Bombyx mori: one gene and its partner. The protein of the gene in region 1 binds, or shares a complex with, the protein of each later gene. Links are inferred from orthologs where the notes say so. Each region holds a gene or a part of one and is shown on either strand. Other genes may lie near its edges.

What was found. The genes of interacting proteins can lie anywhere in the genome.
Region 2: the proteins of NEDD8-activating enzyme E1 catalytic subunit (region 1) and ubiquitin-conjugating enzyme E2M are in contact, whole or in part, in a crystal structure (PDB 2NVU), measured with the Homo sapiens proteins. The link is inferred for Bombyx mori from reciprocal best matches to the Homo sapiens genes UBA3 and UBE2M. Residues at the interface, in NP_003959.3 of Homo sapiens: His53, Pro54, Asp55, Glu61, Ser62, Phe65, Cys70, Gln149, Asn152, Asp153, Thr154, Arg157, Gln158, Phe159, His160, Ile170, Arg173, Trp174, Ser181, Leu182, Leu183, Asn184, Pro192, Ile195, Val196, Pro197, Leu214, Met217, Arg254, Met255; in NP_003960.1 of Homo sapiens: Lys3, Leu4, Phe5, Ser6, Leu7, Lys8, Gln9, Gln10, Lys11, Lys12, Glu15, Lys21, Gly22, Ser23, Ser24, Lys25, Lys26, Ala27, Gln31, Leu32, Gln35, Lys36, Ile38, Asn39, Glu40, Phe51, Ser52, Asp53, Pro54, Asp55.

What each region holds. Positions count from the first base shown.
Region 1 is NC_085115.1:7,046,820-7,054,645, reverse strand, and holds NEDD8-activating enzyme E1 catalytic subunit, read right to left. Parts: upstream 5,193-7,826; 5' UTR 5,049-5,192; intron 4,962-5,048; exon of another isoform or gene 4,400-4,961; intron 4,172-4,399; 5' UTR 4,167-4,171; coding exon 3,832-4,166; intron 2,619-3,831; coding exon 2,458-2,618; intron 2,039-2,457; coding exon 1,870-2,038; intron 1,782-1,869; coding exon 1,532-1,781; intron 1,418-1,531; coding exon 1,198-1,417; intron 1,131-1,197; coding exon 919-1,130; 3' UTR 883-918; downstream 1-882. Other genes in the region: uncharacterized protein LOC101738796, read left to right, coding at 6,277-6,465, 6,877-7,038, 7,288-7,566. UniProt on the Homo sapiens protein: Catalytic subunit of the dimeric UBA3-NAE1 E1 enzyme. E1 activates NEDD8 by first adenylating its C-terminal glycine residue with ATP, thereafter linking this residue to the side chain of the catalytic cysteine, yielding a NEDD8-UBA3 thioester and free AMP.
Region 2 is NC_085121.1:6,067,576-6,075,349, reverse strand, and holds ubiquitin-conjugating enzyme E2M, read left to right. Parts: upstream 1-3,218; 5' UTR 3,219-3,509; coding exon 3,510-3,618; intron 3,619-3,799; coding exon 3,800-3,933; intron 3,934-5,989; coding exon 5,990-6,157; intron 6,158-7,042; coding exon 7,043-7,183; 3' UTR 7,184-7,532; downstream 7,533-7,774. Other genes in the region: uncharacterized protein LOC101745482, read right to left, coding at 1-81, 187-252.

The DNA of each region.
Region 1 (7,826 bases):
AAAAAAAAAATCGATATATCAATTCATGTAATTATTTTTCTTTATACTGACAACACTGAATTTAATCTGACTGACTGACACTGACACTTCGTCTGCTGCTTGTGCTTGCGTTCAAAATGGATGTTTTGATTTTTCGTCGATTTATTTTACTTTTATCAATAACATTTCATACTAAGACTGAAAAACATTGTGTGAATTGTGGTTTTAACCTGACCGAGATTTAAAACCGTGTAGATGCTCTCCTGTGCTATTTTTAGATGATTTACTAATTGTGTATGAAGATGAAGAAAATATAGATATTTAAAAGAAGTATGTGTGTTTTTTTATACCCTAATAACTACAATTGGATAAAAATACCGTAGGAACATCTTAAACATAAAGAAAAGAAAAGTTCTTGAAGTATCTCACAATCCGACACTTATATAGAAAATTAGGCTCAAAACTAATTTTTATTTTTATTATATTATTTATAATAGTGGCGTCAATTTCATTAAAATTTTTAGATATCTAATACATTTAATATATTTACTTTATTTTATCTAATATATTTAATTTTGATGTCCATCTTGGGCCCAGCACACTATGGAGAGTGGGCATTCCCCTTTAATTTTCTTTCAAAATTTTTATTGAGAGGGTTCAATAACTCACAATTATTATGTACGATGTTACTTCATTTTTCTGATCCTACACTTGCTGTATTCTTATCTTACATTTAATTTCATTTAAATTAATTTCCATATTTTTGTTTCGGCTACGCCCTGACTACAAATAAGTCACTGAAGAGCTACGTTCCCTTTATGTATCCAATGTCCGAAACAAATAAAACAAAATAGGTAGGTAGGCATTGGCGGAGTAGTGAGTATTAAATTTTTACGCATTAAATTTGATGGATATTTGTTTATTAGTTTAATTTAATTTTTATTTAGTCATATCAACATCAAGAGTTTCGAATTTTAATTTTATGGTTATGGTGTTAGGAGTAGTCACATCTGCTACTAATATATCAGCACCATTAAACAAACCCAAATCTGTTAATTTCTTCTTTAAATTATCTTTTGTCCTTTCTTCAATGCTCTTAATAGATGACATGTATAATGTTTTATTGCATCCATTAATTACAGTGGTTATGCCTGAAAAATAAATTTTATTTTATTCATAAAATTGAATGAAATGTGAGCATCAAAAATTAGTGTTTACCTGGACTCTTCATCAAATAAGCTTGATCTTCGCAAAGTTTTGTATAAATATATTGTAATGTAGCATCAGGATCGATTTTCATAACCCTAGTAGAATTGCAACAAGCAACGCAATCAGGCCTTTTCTCTGCACTAAATGTATATGTATACACACCATCAGCCATATTCAGTACCATGTAGTTGTTCATATTCACACAACAAGATGAAGCTAGTTTAAATACCTGTGCCAATATTATTCACAGTATATAACAGATGAATCAACATTTTAAGGAATAGATAATAAACTAATACAGACTATTAAGTCTATCGAGATTTTAAATAAATTGGGCTTTCACCTCTGTAGCACAAGCAGCAGCTATAGCAGCATTAGTACTGGCAACAGCAGGTATAATGTTCTTTAAAACTCCTTGGGTCAACCTGTATGTAACATTAGCAATCCCATGCTTCATTGCCCTTTCTTGGGCCTTTTCATACACCCACACGACATGCTGTGGATCATCACCATCTAAAGTTGTTGAACTACCCCATGGATTCTCCTTTGCCCATTGAATTACTTTAACATATTCGATACAATGTTCTGGTAATCTGGAAATAATATATGAGTCATGAGAATATTGAACACTTTGTCATTTGTAAATTAACAATTGAATAGATATATAGTTATACTAATTACCTTGGAGTGTTAGCAATGGTGCACAAAGGGAAAGTTTTTTGTGGGGGATATAGATCTAAAGTACACTCAATACATGCACTCATGCCAGGTAATATAACTCTAGCATTGCCTTTAAATCCCTCAGTACCTCCATCCACCATTGGAATTACACTACTCTGGTCCAAACTTCCTGTCAAATTACAAATTAACAAAATTTAAAATGCAATAGGTAGATACTATTGAAAGTTAAAACAATAAAGATGGATATGTTGTTAACATTGTTTTTTTTTAGAATATTTTCAAAATATGAGCAATGAAAAATTCGTAATCATAATAAATTATTTATATAAATATTTAACAATTTTTGATTCAAGTTTAATTTTATTTATTCTGTCTGAAATTATCTCTTTAGGCACAAAGTATTTATATTAGTTTCTTACAAAATATTTTAACAAATTATATTTTTATAATAAAAGTGTAGAAAACTAGAACATGTTAATGCCTTGTGGCAGGAATAGGTAAATACCTTTTCCTAGGCTCAAGATACACACTCTGCCAGTAAATAAAACACTAGCTACTACCAAGAACTTTAAGAAAATAAACTATTACTGTCATCATTGTACTGCAACAAGGATACCAGCATTCCATTAAGCCATCTCCGAGCAATAATTGAGTCAAGCCCACAAACAACAATGTGAAATTGTCTATAAAAATCTTCATCAAGGTCCTGAATGGCACAGTGGTGAGCTACAGCTTCACACCCAGGAACTCTGTAATGAAAAGAAATACCAAAGTTCAAAACAACAAAATTTATTCAACAAAAATTACAACAACTGTCATTTTAAGTAAAATAAGAGTAACACTACATGACGATCACGACCACTCTGTCAAGAGTGACATGACTGAGAAGAAGAAGAAGAAGAAGTGTATGATGATTACAATTTAAGAAAAAAATATATTGGCAAATATATTTAATTTCATTTTAAATGATATCAAATACCAGATAAATTGTCTCAATAATGGAAAAAAAACCAGCTGAAGCACAGTGCCCACAGTGTGGTGTGGCTGGGGGTGTCTGTCTTAGCTTAAAAATGCATGTTCAAAAATGCCAAATAGGAATTGAAACCACAAACTTGGTTTGCTTAGGAGATAAATATTGTATAATGTTTGTGCCATCATCAATGCTTTACTGGAGATGTTAATAAAAATATATAACACAGATCCTACTAATATTACAAACGGAAAGTTTGTAAGAATGTATGTTTGTTACTCTTCCACCGAAAAACTACTTGATGGATTTTGATGAAACTTTACAATAATATAGTTGACATTGACTATAATAATTTATAAAGATATAGTGTGAATTACAAAAATATAATGATAAGTGTCAAGTAAGTAGGAAAGAAATCTGCCAACTTATTTTGATAATCAATAATAAATTACAGTTCTAGTATAGACTAGCGACCCGCCCTGGCCTTGCTTCGGGAAGCAACAACAATCAACATCAATCAATCAACAATTTAAATGTAACACTATCAAGAGCAATATAATAAAATTTACGTGTTTCAGAATATTAAAATCAAAGGTAAGATTTATGACATGGGAATAAAAGTACTAACACTGTTTTCACTACTTTGGATGCACTTCAGTCTAGTTTATGTAACCACTTATTTCGGAAAATGTTGAAAATCTACTTCCTGTCAGGGAATCCTTACTTTTGAATTCATACATCCATCGCCTCCTACATCGTGTATAGACTTCCCCCATTATTCATCCTTTTTATCAAGATTTCACAAAATGATGAACGTTCATATAGAAAACGTAACAATTATCATAATGGGATAATAGATAATTACTTCAGGGACCCCTACTATTTGCAAGTGTGTAACTTTATGTATTTATTTAATAATGTAAATAATAATTACTGTACATTGATAACATTCAATTAAACACTAACTCTACTCATCACAATTACATTTTTACCTTTTATTGACAAATTCCACAGCACATTTAGCTTTAGGTAGGCCAATATCATTTCTTCTGAACAAAAATTGCCGGTTTAAATTTGATAGTTCTATTGTATCCATATCTACAATATGTAACTTTTTGAAGCCCATTAAGGCTAAATCTTTCAATAATTCACAACCAAGACCACCTGCCCCAACAATGAGAACTTTACAACAGTTCATGATGAAATTTAGAATTTCTGCTGAAGCTTCAAAATCTGGATGGCAGAAAGGACCAGATCTTTCCAGCAGCTTCCTTATATGTTGCCATCTCCTATTTTGATAATCAGCCGTTTGAGATTCTGAAGTCATTATGACTGAAAAATAAATACATTACACTATTTAAATACATACACATTGAAAGAACTGAGATATTATTCTTTTAAACCACACTTGTGTGTACTTCAGTAATATGCAGCTAATCAAAACGAATATTCAATAATTAGCAATAAGAGATGTATTTATTACTTTCATTTTATTATTTTTATATAGATTTGTAATTAATGATTTAGTATTCTTTCAAAATACTATAATTATGTACGTACCTATTTCTATTTCCAATAAGTTTTAGTGCAATAAATAAATATAATTATGGCAATAAGTATGATACCTACCTAGAAGAGGTATGTATGTAGTAGGTAGGTAGGTGTACTTTTTCTGTTAATTTTTTTAACTTTGCGGTTAAATATTTATAAATCCTAATCGCCTTATTTTCATAGACCAAAGAGTATACCATGTAGTACAATAAGTAATAGTAGTAATAGTATTTCGCCAGTTAATACATATCTGTGCTACATGTGTTGAAGGTTTAAAGTTCATTGAAAACACTAATAATTTAATTGATTTGGCCAATTGGGCCGGTAAATAGATTTTAATCCATGAAGCTTCTCGTCAAATATCGAAACATAAAAAAAAACGATTAAAATTTTAAAACGTAATAAAGAAAAAGTTACTGCGGAAGTATTCCTTCATTTATAAATCGCAACTTAAGGCGAAAGGCATCGTGCCTATAATTTAGTCGATGAACATATGTCACATCGACTATTGCGAGTCACTGAAAATAACTATCGCGAGTAAATCACAGTGTAATGAATGAATCATGAATCAGAATTAAGTATTACTACTGACTTTTTAAATACCCAAATGTTGACATCCAAACTCAAAGGAGTTTTTAAATAGATTAATATTCTTTACCTCCAAGATAAATCACTGAACTATAATAACGTGATCAAATTTGGATTTATGCAGATATAATATTTAGATGGCCGGTGACAAGCGCTTTTTTTCTCATACTAAATAGAGAAGGGTATAGGGACCTCGAAGCTCACGCGTACTGTCTACTTATGGTAGCACTGTTTTTGTGGTAAAAGATCAGTCCACTCCAACAAATTCAAATGGTTAGGTAATATGTTGGTATTCAATAGAGGTATTAAACTTTACTTTTATTAATAAAGTAAAAGAAAATGCAAATATACTAGATTCCAGAATTAGGGCTTAAAATACTTTTAAACATAATTTAATACACATACACACGGGATTCACGATTTTATGCATTTAAAATAATGGGTTTTAATTAGTATGTAGTTAACTTCCTTGTTATATCGGATATACCTATACACATCCAAATAAACTATTACCAATCTTCGAAAGCCATAAATTAGTTATTTCAAGCGGTATACGCTCAATTCTGAATACCAATAAATTGCATACTCTGTCTGCAAAGAGCAACTAGAGACATTAATATCAGCTAATCAAAGAAAATAGACACAAAACCAATCAACAAAAATATTTAAAAAAAAAGCATGTTGATCAATTTTATTCTCTCATGAAAACTCCAAACTAGTTAGGTAATTACCTATGTAAAAATAAATCTACGTTCAAAAATTTACATTCTATAGTCGAATCATTCAAACCTGATTACGTTCTATTGGTGCCATTCATTTGTTGAAAATGGAGGCGTGATGGATGTGAATTTGTCGCAGGTCTTCAATTTTCAAGTTAGCGGTAGTGAGGTTTTTAGGGTAAGTTGAAACCTTTCAGCACTGGTTTCGGTATCTGCAGTATTTAGAATATTTATTGGAATAAGATTTGTGACCACAAACCGCGAAATATCCTCTAAAATTGAGGGAGAGACTGCGAACATTTTGAAGTCGAGTGTTGCTTGCAATATAACCATGCGGATATAAAGATGAAGGAAAAATATCTGTTGTCAAACATATCATTTTAAATTCAGTGAGTTCAGTGCATAATTGAAATAAATATCACATTGGTGATTTCCGTAAAACTGATCAGTATCACACGAAATATACTGTTGGTACCTACAGTATTTTATAACAGTTCATATTTATGTTGCTATCAAATCAAACTTACCTTTGTAAATGTCTTGTGATAAAGTCATTAAATTGTAATTGTTAGGTGTAACATGGCTGGTAACAAAGTGAATACAAAATCAAAGGGAAAAGAAGATAAAAGCAAATCAAACAATAGAGGCAATGGACAAACCAATGAAGAAAATGAACTCCCAGACTATGCCTTACTCAGAAAACCTATCTTGACCAGTATCACTAGTTTTGGTCAAGCAAGAAAAATATTTGACTTAGCTACTGAAGAGGTAAGAAAACCACTTACTGACTTATTTATGAAAAAGGTATAACAAATGTTAAAAACATTAATAACATCATTCTCTCATTCATCTCATCTCTTAATTAACCCAATTGCTTAGTAAATGCTGAAAGATAACATTGAAAAAGGTAAAATTGATCATTTTCTTTCAAAAATATATTCTCAAAATTACATATCTATATTCTATTATTTAAACAGAGTTTGGTGTTCTAATTACCCAATGGTTAAGTTGATTAGAGTTCAATTCTATTAAATGTACTAAGTTGTATCTGAATAAGTATTATGTAATGCAATGCTTTAAATAAAAAAATAATTTGTCAGTTGTATTATTTCAAGTTTCTCACTTTATGAACTCTATAGACTATACAGATAAATCTTTAATGGCTTATAAAATTTTCAGCTTAAAAATTTACTATCTAATGAGTGTGATATTTTGTATGAATGCAAAGTTTGCCGAAATATATTCAGAAGCCTAGCAAACTTTGTATCTCACAAACGTGTTTACTGTAAAGAAAAGTTCAGTACCACAATTCATGGACACTTTGTTAAGGCTACCTCAGCAGTGAGTATGTTTATTACTTAATATAGTATTTTAATCTCATATTGAATATAAAGTTTGTGTGGTTAAAAATTTATAAAAATATGGTTGAACAGAAGTAGTAATTGTTAATATATACTTTTAAGTCAGAGGCCTAAAGTTTATCTGATCATAAGTGGTCATTGTAGCTCAGCACATTGACAATGTCAAGAACACAGGTTAACAGCTGCACACTATCCATATACATTCAGATTATGTGTATTATTATTTTAGCTCAAAGAATTGATGAAAATAAAACATTTAGAGGAAGAATATCAAGAGTCCTTGAAAGAATCTGTAACAGAAGATGCTGAACAAAGTGATAGCGATGAAAGGATTCCACTTTCAAAAGATTTAACTGAAATTGTTGAAAAAATTGCACACAAGAACAAGTGCAAAAATAAATCGGAAGAAACTCAGGTTGTCTTACAAAAAATACCAAATAGCTCAGTTGCTGTTTTCCAAACAGTTGAAGAAGATGAGAGCAGTCAAAATGATAATATTCAAAAGCAGGTGTGTTGATAGAGATTTAATTTCTGTGACCTGCTTCTCTTAGTTTATTGTTATAATTGAGTAATTATGCTTTTTTACTTTAATATGTATTTTACAATTATTCCATTACAGCCCAGGCCATTTTATAAGAAATCTGAATCATTGAATTTATTCAAAATGAAAATTGAGCAGATACTGAAGTTCATTCACAACATGGACATCACCGCTCATCTTGACTAAAGTTCAAAGTTGCTTTTGTAAAAAATTATTGCTATTGTACT
Region 2 (7,774 bases), on another chromosome or scaffold:
ATTAGACGGCTTTGCGGGTTTTATAGTTATTCCACAAAGATTATTTGGTATGTGAACCATGGCATTCGGTCGAGTTTTTGCCTGAAAGTTTATAACAATTAAACAACTTGTTTAGGTTTGGTGGTCTATCAAATATTATATGCAAAAGTGCGCTAAATTTAATTATATATTAAATTGGGTACATACTTTCTTTGGCGCTGGTTCAGTATCATCATCTGAAGAACCTAATTCTATCACATCTTCGCTTGCCATGTTGCATCAATGTTAATCGGGAATGTTAATATTTTTGTAATCGATTATAAACCTTGTAGGTTACAAACTTGGAATATTTTGCTTCATTACTCTAGCGAAATACGTTCATTTTTTCATAAAACAGGAAGGAAAGTTATATCAACAAATAAATAGGTGCATCAACGAAAGCCTACAATCGCGTAAAGTGTATAATCTATGATCGCGGCAAAGTGCGTAGGTACATAGATGGGCCCAATCGGAATCGATCTTTTGGAAAATCGATCTTTAATTTTAATCGCCTTACATCCACATCGGCTCACATTTTTATTACCTAAATGGGATTTAAAAAATGAGTAGTTTTAGATCTAAATTGACAAAACCATTGTAATTCTTGGGTTTTCCAGAGTCATACATGGAATTTATTACTGGTGGTAGGACCTCTTGTGAGCCCGCGCGGGTAGGTACCACCGCCCTGCCTATTTCTGCCGTGATGCAGTGATGCGTTTCGGTTTGAAGGGTGGGGCAGCCGTTGTAACTATACTTGAGACCTTAGAGCTTATATCTCAAGGTGGGTGGCGCATTTACATTGTGGATGTCTATGGGCTCCAGTAACCACTTAACACCAGGTGGGCTGTGAGCTCAACCACCCATCGAAGAAATAAAAATAAAACTACATTTACGACTATATATATATATATATATATATATATATATATATATATATTTAGTTAAATATTATTTAATAGTACACTAGTACACACATCGAGTGACTCGGGGTACCGTAGTCAGCGCCCCAACTACTGGGCTGAGAATTGTGAGTTCGGAATTCCATTTTGGAGAATCGTACGTGTACCTAAAATATTTTTTGTCTTTATTGGAACGAAGTTCCTTACGGCAGGCTTGGAGGGGATAGGGATATTGCTGCGCGACCGAACTGAAAAAAATGTGATAGTAAAACCGTAAGGAAAAATCCGTGGAAAAAAGTGCGTGGAATAAAACCGTTAAATGAGACGTGCGCAGGCGCGACAGTCGTATACACAAGCGAGTAGTGTATAATACCTTTCTCTTTCTCCCTCTTTCTTTTCGTTCTCTCATCCTTTCTCTCTCTATTTTGTAATTATTTCTATTTCTATGTAATTTTATGTTGTCAAACAAAACTAAAGAGACATATTTTGTTATTTTAATTGATAATTTTGATAATTTGAATTACGATTTTATTTTTATTTTACGTAATTTATTATTTCCTAAAATACTGAATTTCCTAAATACTTTCCTGTACTTAAATAAAAACTAATCAGCAAAATTTAAGAGAAAAATCAAGAAAACCAACATAAAAATGAGCACGATTTTTTTTTGCAAATTGTGTCGATTCTACGTTAGCCGAAGGAACTTCGTTCCTACCTGGTGTCCCACGACACCACTTTTTTTTTTCTTATTTTATGTTAAATGTATATACATTTATTTATTTGGAAAAAAGGAACAGTACAAAACACCCATAAAATACATTCAAAATAGATATACAAAAAGTAAACAAGTTTGCACTATTAACATTACAGGTAAGTAGAAAGTAAACAGAAAAATAACTTTAGGAAGACCTTAATAAATAAAAGTTTACAACAAGGTAACAAAATACAACAATTACAAAACTTTATACTAATTATTGCTACACGTCGGACATTACTAACCTTTCAAAAAATATTCCCAAATAGCATTATAAATGCAAACGTGTATATATTTAAATTTACGTAACTAAATCTCTATTTCCGATAGTAGAAGGTATCCTAGCTTGAGGGCAAATGACGTTTGTGATTTGTGTATAATTTTGATGAAATTTCGCAGAAAGTTAATAATATTTGGTGAAGTGGCAGACCGCGGTAAAATGCACTCGCTGTGAAACGGCGCGTCGCGTCGGCGCGAACGGAACTGAAGTGTTGTTTGTTGCGTTCGCTTCACCAAACATATAAGCATGCTCATGGGGCTCAATCTGGGAGACTTTGTAAACATCCTCTCTAGAGCAATGCTTCGCTGAATCTACCACCGGATCAAAATCACAACCCTCTGAGAAAATCCGTTGAGTAACTCAGTGGGCTCAAACTCTTTTTGCGCTCGCTGCATGACATAATACATGTGATCAGGGACGTCTTAAATTAGGCTGGGGCCCTTGGACACACAAGAATTTGAGGTCCTTTTGGAAAGTAAAAAAAGCGAATTATAATAACATTTTTTACTCAGTATGACCATTTATTATAGGTAATCAAATACGGTATGATATAATATGTCATTAATGATATTAGAATACTGCTGGTTTTTTGGTTACGATCACGATAACGGAAACCGAATAAATGTGTGAGAGAAATTGTCGGTCCTTAGGGGGCCCCTGAGAATGGGGTCCCTGGGAACGGGTCCCGTGTGCCCTTATGGTAAAGACGGTATTGCATGTGATGGTAATCTTTGAACAATGTCCTCTCAAGAAATTCGCGGTCAGTGTATCGCCCTCAAGATGTGCCGACAAAGGAGAGTCGTTAGCGGTGTTTGTTCAAACGGCTATGTTTAGTTGGTTGATGTACTGATAGTTTATATTTCGTTTCGTTTGTATTTCGCCGCACGCCCCCAGTAGTGATAGGCAGCTCGTTATCTAGGGATTCGCTGCCCTAATCACATCGTAATAATACTCATAGTAAATGACATGATCGAACAACACCCGGTATTTTTGCTATTTTAAATGAGACAGTGTATTTGCTGATTCATGATTTCGGATTGGTGATCTACAAATAAACTTAAAAAAACAAAATAGTTAATGGAGCGGAGAGTGATACAACCATAGAGTTAGTATACTTATTAACTCCATGGATACAACTGACACAAGTAACTTTTTTTCGGATAAGCTATTAATCTAGTTTTTTCTATGCTATAAAATATACTAGTACCTACTATTTTTTTACTGATCTGTGGATGTTTGTGCGTTCGTCCACAGATTAATAATGTGTGGGTCCGCCAGAGAATTGAACTAAATTGAACTAAAAATTGAAATAATTGAACGGTAGAAATTGTCAAGAAGAATGTGTTTGTTGAAGCTTGACTTATACCTAATTGGCTAAAACAAAAAGTCAAAGAGAAAGTATATTATTTAGCCAATCATAAGTCTAGGTTTGGCTCTTCATTTAACAAAATTTCACCGAACACTGATCTGTGATACAAAAACTCAAAAAAGTCAAGCTGTCAAAATAGATCTTGGAATTTAATAAATTATTAATCTATTTAATTGATTAGTTAGGAAAATGATTAAACTTTTTTCATTAAAACAACAGAAAAAAGATGAAGAGGGTTCTACCAGAGGAGGAGGATCACAAAAAAAAGCATCAGCAGCCCAATTACGAATTACAAAAGGTTCTAGGCGATATTTTCAGTGTTTACTAGATTTTTCATGTTTAATTAAGCATTACCAATGAATTTCCTGTATTTTATGGCAGAAATATATTGGCAACAAATAAGATTTCATTAAAATTAACTTGTTATTTTATAAGATTTTATAAGCTTCATTTCATGACCAATATTAATGTATCCACAGATTTGAATGAATTGAATCTACCGAAAACATGCAACACAGAATTCCCTGATCCGGATGACCTATTGAATTTTAAATTGATTATATGCCCAGATGAAGGATTTTATAGAGGAGGAAAATTTGTATTTAGCTTTAAGGTGAGCTTTTGTTCATTATTCATTAACATCATAATTAACCTTAAGATAACTTTCGATGTGTTCACCAGTAGATCACATTCATTATCTCAGAGCTTAATCACTTCATATGGCAATATTGTTGGGTACAGGAAAAAAATTACGAATGGTCTTTGTATGCAAAACTTGGAACTATAAGAACTGATTCAAAATCTGTATTTTTTACAAACTAAAATCATATGGCTTGGAATAGTTGGCTAGTTTTTGTAAAAAAACATCATTACATGATTGTATTTTAAAAATTTACTGGTCTGAATAAAAATTTAATCTGTTGATTCTGACTTGGTATTAGGTGGTCAAAGTTAGTGTACAACTGGGTAAGCCCTGTGATCATGTCTATATCTCTTCTATAATACTTTTACTATATTCTGGTTTTAAGCATTGAACATCTGATGCCGAAGTCCTCGTCGACATGATGGGTCTGTGTTGGATGGCTGGATGGCCTCACCGCTGTTGACTGGTCAGTAGGGATGCTTATAGTGGAGATCCCATCGGAACCTGCCTGTGTCTGTGATTACCATCCACAAATTTAACATTAGAGTGAAGCCTGATGGTCATACATGGGGTAGACTGCGATAGACTATGATTTTTTTTGTGGTTATTGATCTCTCTCTCTTTCTCTCTCTCTCACACACTCATGCACTAATGTTGGTACACCACATTCTACCTTGTTCCTATTAATATAGGTAGATGAGGTGTGAATCTTTAAGAGCATCTAAAAAAACAGAAAATTTTGAAGTAATACTGATGATCATCGCTGATGATGATAACTGCCACAGCTGTTTTTATTTTTATTTCATAGGATCATATGATTAACCAGTTGCGCATATTAAGTATTTAACTGAGCCCCACACCCTACAATGTGAACGTCACAAGTCATCATAGAAGTGTGCAGACAAAAGAGGACAAAGTTTCATTAATTGATAAAGTGTAGTAATAAAACATAATAACAATACAACATAACAAAAAAAATTAAAAGGTTTCACATGTTTGTACAATTCTTTTATGACATTGATCAGTCTATAGCAAAAACTTTCTCCTGTGTTATTTCGCCTATAACATCTTGAAGACAATAACACCCAGATCCTGAAAACCAAATATATTTTATCGACTCTAGGGGATAGTAGTCGCTAGCAACCTGACCAATGAGGCAGAACTTAGGTAATGATTCTTCAGTCAATTCATTTTTACTCAGAACAATTTATCAAAGGATGTTTTCAAATAATACTAACCAGCTGGAGCTCAGTAGCTAATACTTCTTTTACTATTGGTTAAATTAACTGTCCCTCAATTGAATATGTACGTTTATAGTAATAAATATTTAATATTATACAAAGTCCACAGTCTTTTTGCTGAGAAGCTGCTGAAAAAAAGCTTTGACTTTGAAGTTGGCTGAACTTCTTTGTTGTGTCTTGAAAAAATTGCAGACAAAATAATAAAAACATTTCGATTATTGAGTTCAGAAGCGAGATAGTTGGGGTCTTGATTGTAACTTTGCAATAACTCCTAATTTTGGATTTTTTTAACATCTTGTACTTGATCAAACTCAGTGATCGGTCCGTGCGGTTCTAAATAGGAGACAGTTTGAGTATAGTTATTAATACAATCTCAGACCACAGGCTATGATATAATAAACTAAAAACGGACCCCAGGCGAACCTTGAGGTTTGTCGAGGACTTCAAGGTGATCCCTCCCTCTATATTCTCCTTCTTTAAGCCTAATCTTTATAGATTACAAACTTATGTTATGTTACACATGGGTAGGTACCACTATCCTGTCCATTTATGCCGTGAAGCTGTCATGCGTTTCGGTTCGAAGGGTTGGACGACCGTGAGAGGAGAGTTAAGTCAGCGGCTCGTCTCAAGTGACTAGCAGCATTTACGCTATGTTATCTCCGATAAATATTACGTAGATAATACCATATCGGCCGTAAGCTGAAGTATTCTAGAAATGCTAAAACACTTTAGTAGATAGTAAGTAACTTGTATCTTTCTAACAAATATTTTTAACCAATTTTCAGGTAGGACCAAATTATCCTCACGAGCCGCCCAAAGTCAAATGTGAAACAGCAGTTTATCATCCTAACATAGACCTCGAAGGCAACGTGTGCCTGAATATACTCAGGGAAGATTGGAAACCTGTTCTCACAGTTAACTCCATAGTGTACGGTCTCCAGTATTTATTCTTGGTAAGCCCACTAAATTGATATAAAGACATAGCAATTAAGAACTTCTCATCAAACAGTTTTCTTTTTTTGGTTTTTCTTTTCCAGAAATTGACAAGTTTTGGTGTAATTATGATTATTTTCGTTTTTTTTTTTATTTCAACCTTTCAAATACTTCAATTTTCGTATTCACCGACAACTGTGAGTCTTTAAAGTATTTTTAATTATGTGTAGGACTCACGAAAACCAACGAAATAACTGCTGGTTATGGTTTGATGAAAAAGTTTATGTTTGAAGTAATATTAAATTTAGAAAAATGTATTAATCTCAAGAATGTTTCGGAATCTGAAGAAATTTACTGTACAAAATGCTCTTTTATCAAACTTAGGGCTGCCGATAAAAATCATAACTATAAAAATATTCGTATATTAGCAGTACTCGTAAAGATAAATATAATGAGATTAGATGGGAAAGTCGCTATTCGTCCGTCATCACACGTATTGCATTTTTATCTATTTTGGTGTACAATAACGCATACTCTCTCTTTCATTCACGGTATTGTATTTTATTTTTATCCAGTTTACGTGTACTTGTATAGTCTTGTATAATTGTATCCTATAACTCTCTGTGGAGAGAGTTCTTTGACGAATTGAGAAAATTTCATCATTTTCATTTTATCTTCGCACGAACTGTCAGCAAAGCTTATCTATACTCGCGCCACCCACCTCGAGATATACGTTCTAAGGTCTCAAGTAATAGTTCAACGGCTGCCCCACCCTTCAAACCGAAACGCATTACTGCTTCACGGCCGAAATAGGCAGGGCGGTGGTACCCACCCCCGCGCAGACTCACAAGAGGTCCTACCACCAGTAAAAAACATGTATTGGAATTGTTTTTTTTTTTTTTTAGGAACCAAACCCTGAAGATCCCCTCAACAAGGAAGCAGCTGACGAGCTCCAAAGCAACAGGCGACTTTTCGAACAACACGTTCAGAGAGCTATGCGAGGCGGCTACGTCGGCACATCTTATTTCGAACGATGCCTCAAATGAAAACCTGCACACGTGTAAAAAATGCTAACAACCATATAAATAATAATAAAATCTCATTTTAATGTTTTTCTATTGTTTCGTTTTTATTTATTTAATATTGTTTTTAAAAAAAGCCATCTCTAATGCCATGCCCAACAAGATATCTAAAGTACAATTATTATATTGAGAAATCGTTTAATTCACTTGAATTTCTCTTATAATAATTTCATAACAAAATATACGAGTCGTATCGATCGATCCTATATTTTTCGAGTTGATATCAAATTCAAACACAGTTATGTCTTCATAGTTAAACTTAAAAAAATGTCGCTAGTGGCGCTTAGGTCATTGTAAATAAAGAACTGCATTCAACAATTCTTTCATTTGAATACCTAAGTATATTTGTGATGTTGACTAATCCTTATCGGATGGGTAACTAGTAACTATAAATGTACTTTTCTAGTTATATACCAAACTATTACTCTGCTAGTTGGTGGATGAGATAGCATACACAATACATGAGTAAATGCATGTAGTATGCTGTAAGTATCTAACAAACCACTAAATACTTACTAAATAGTGAAGAATTCGATAAAAAGAGAAGGAAGGATT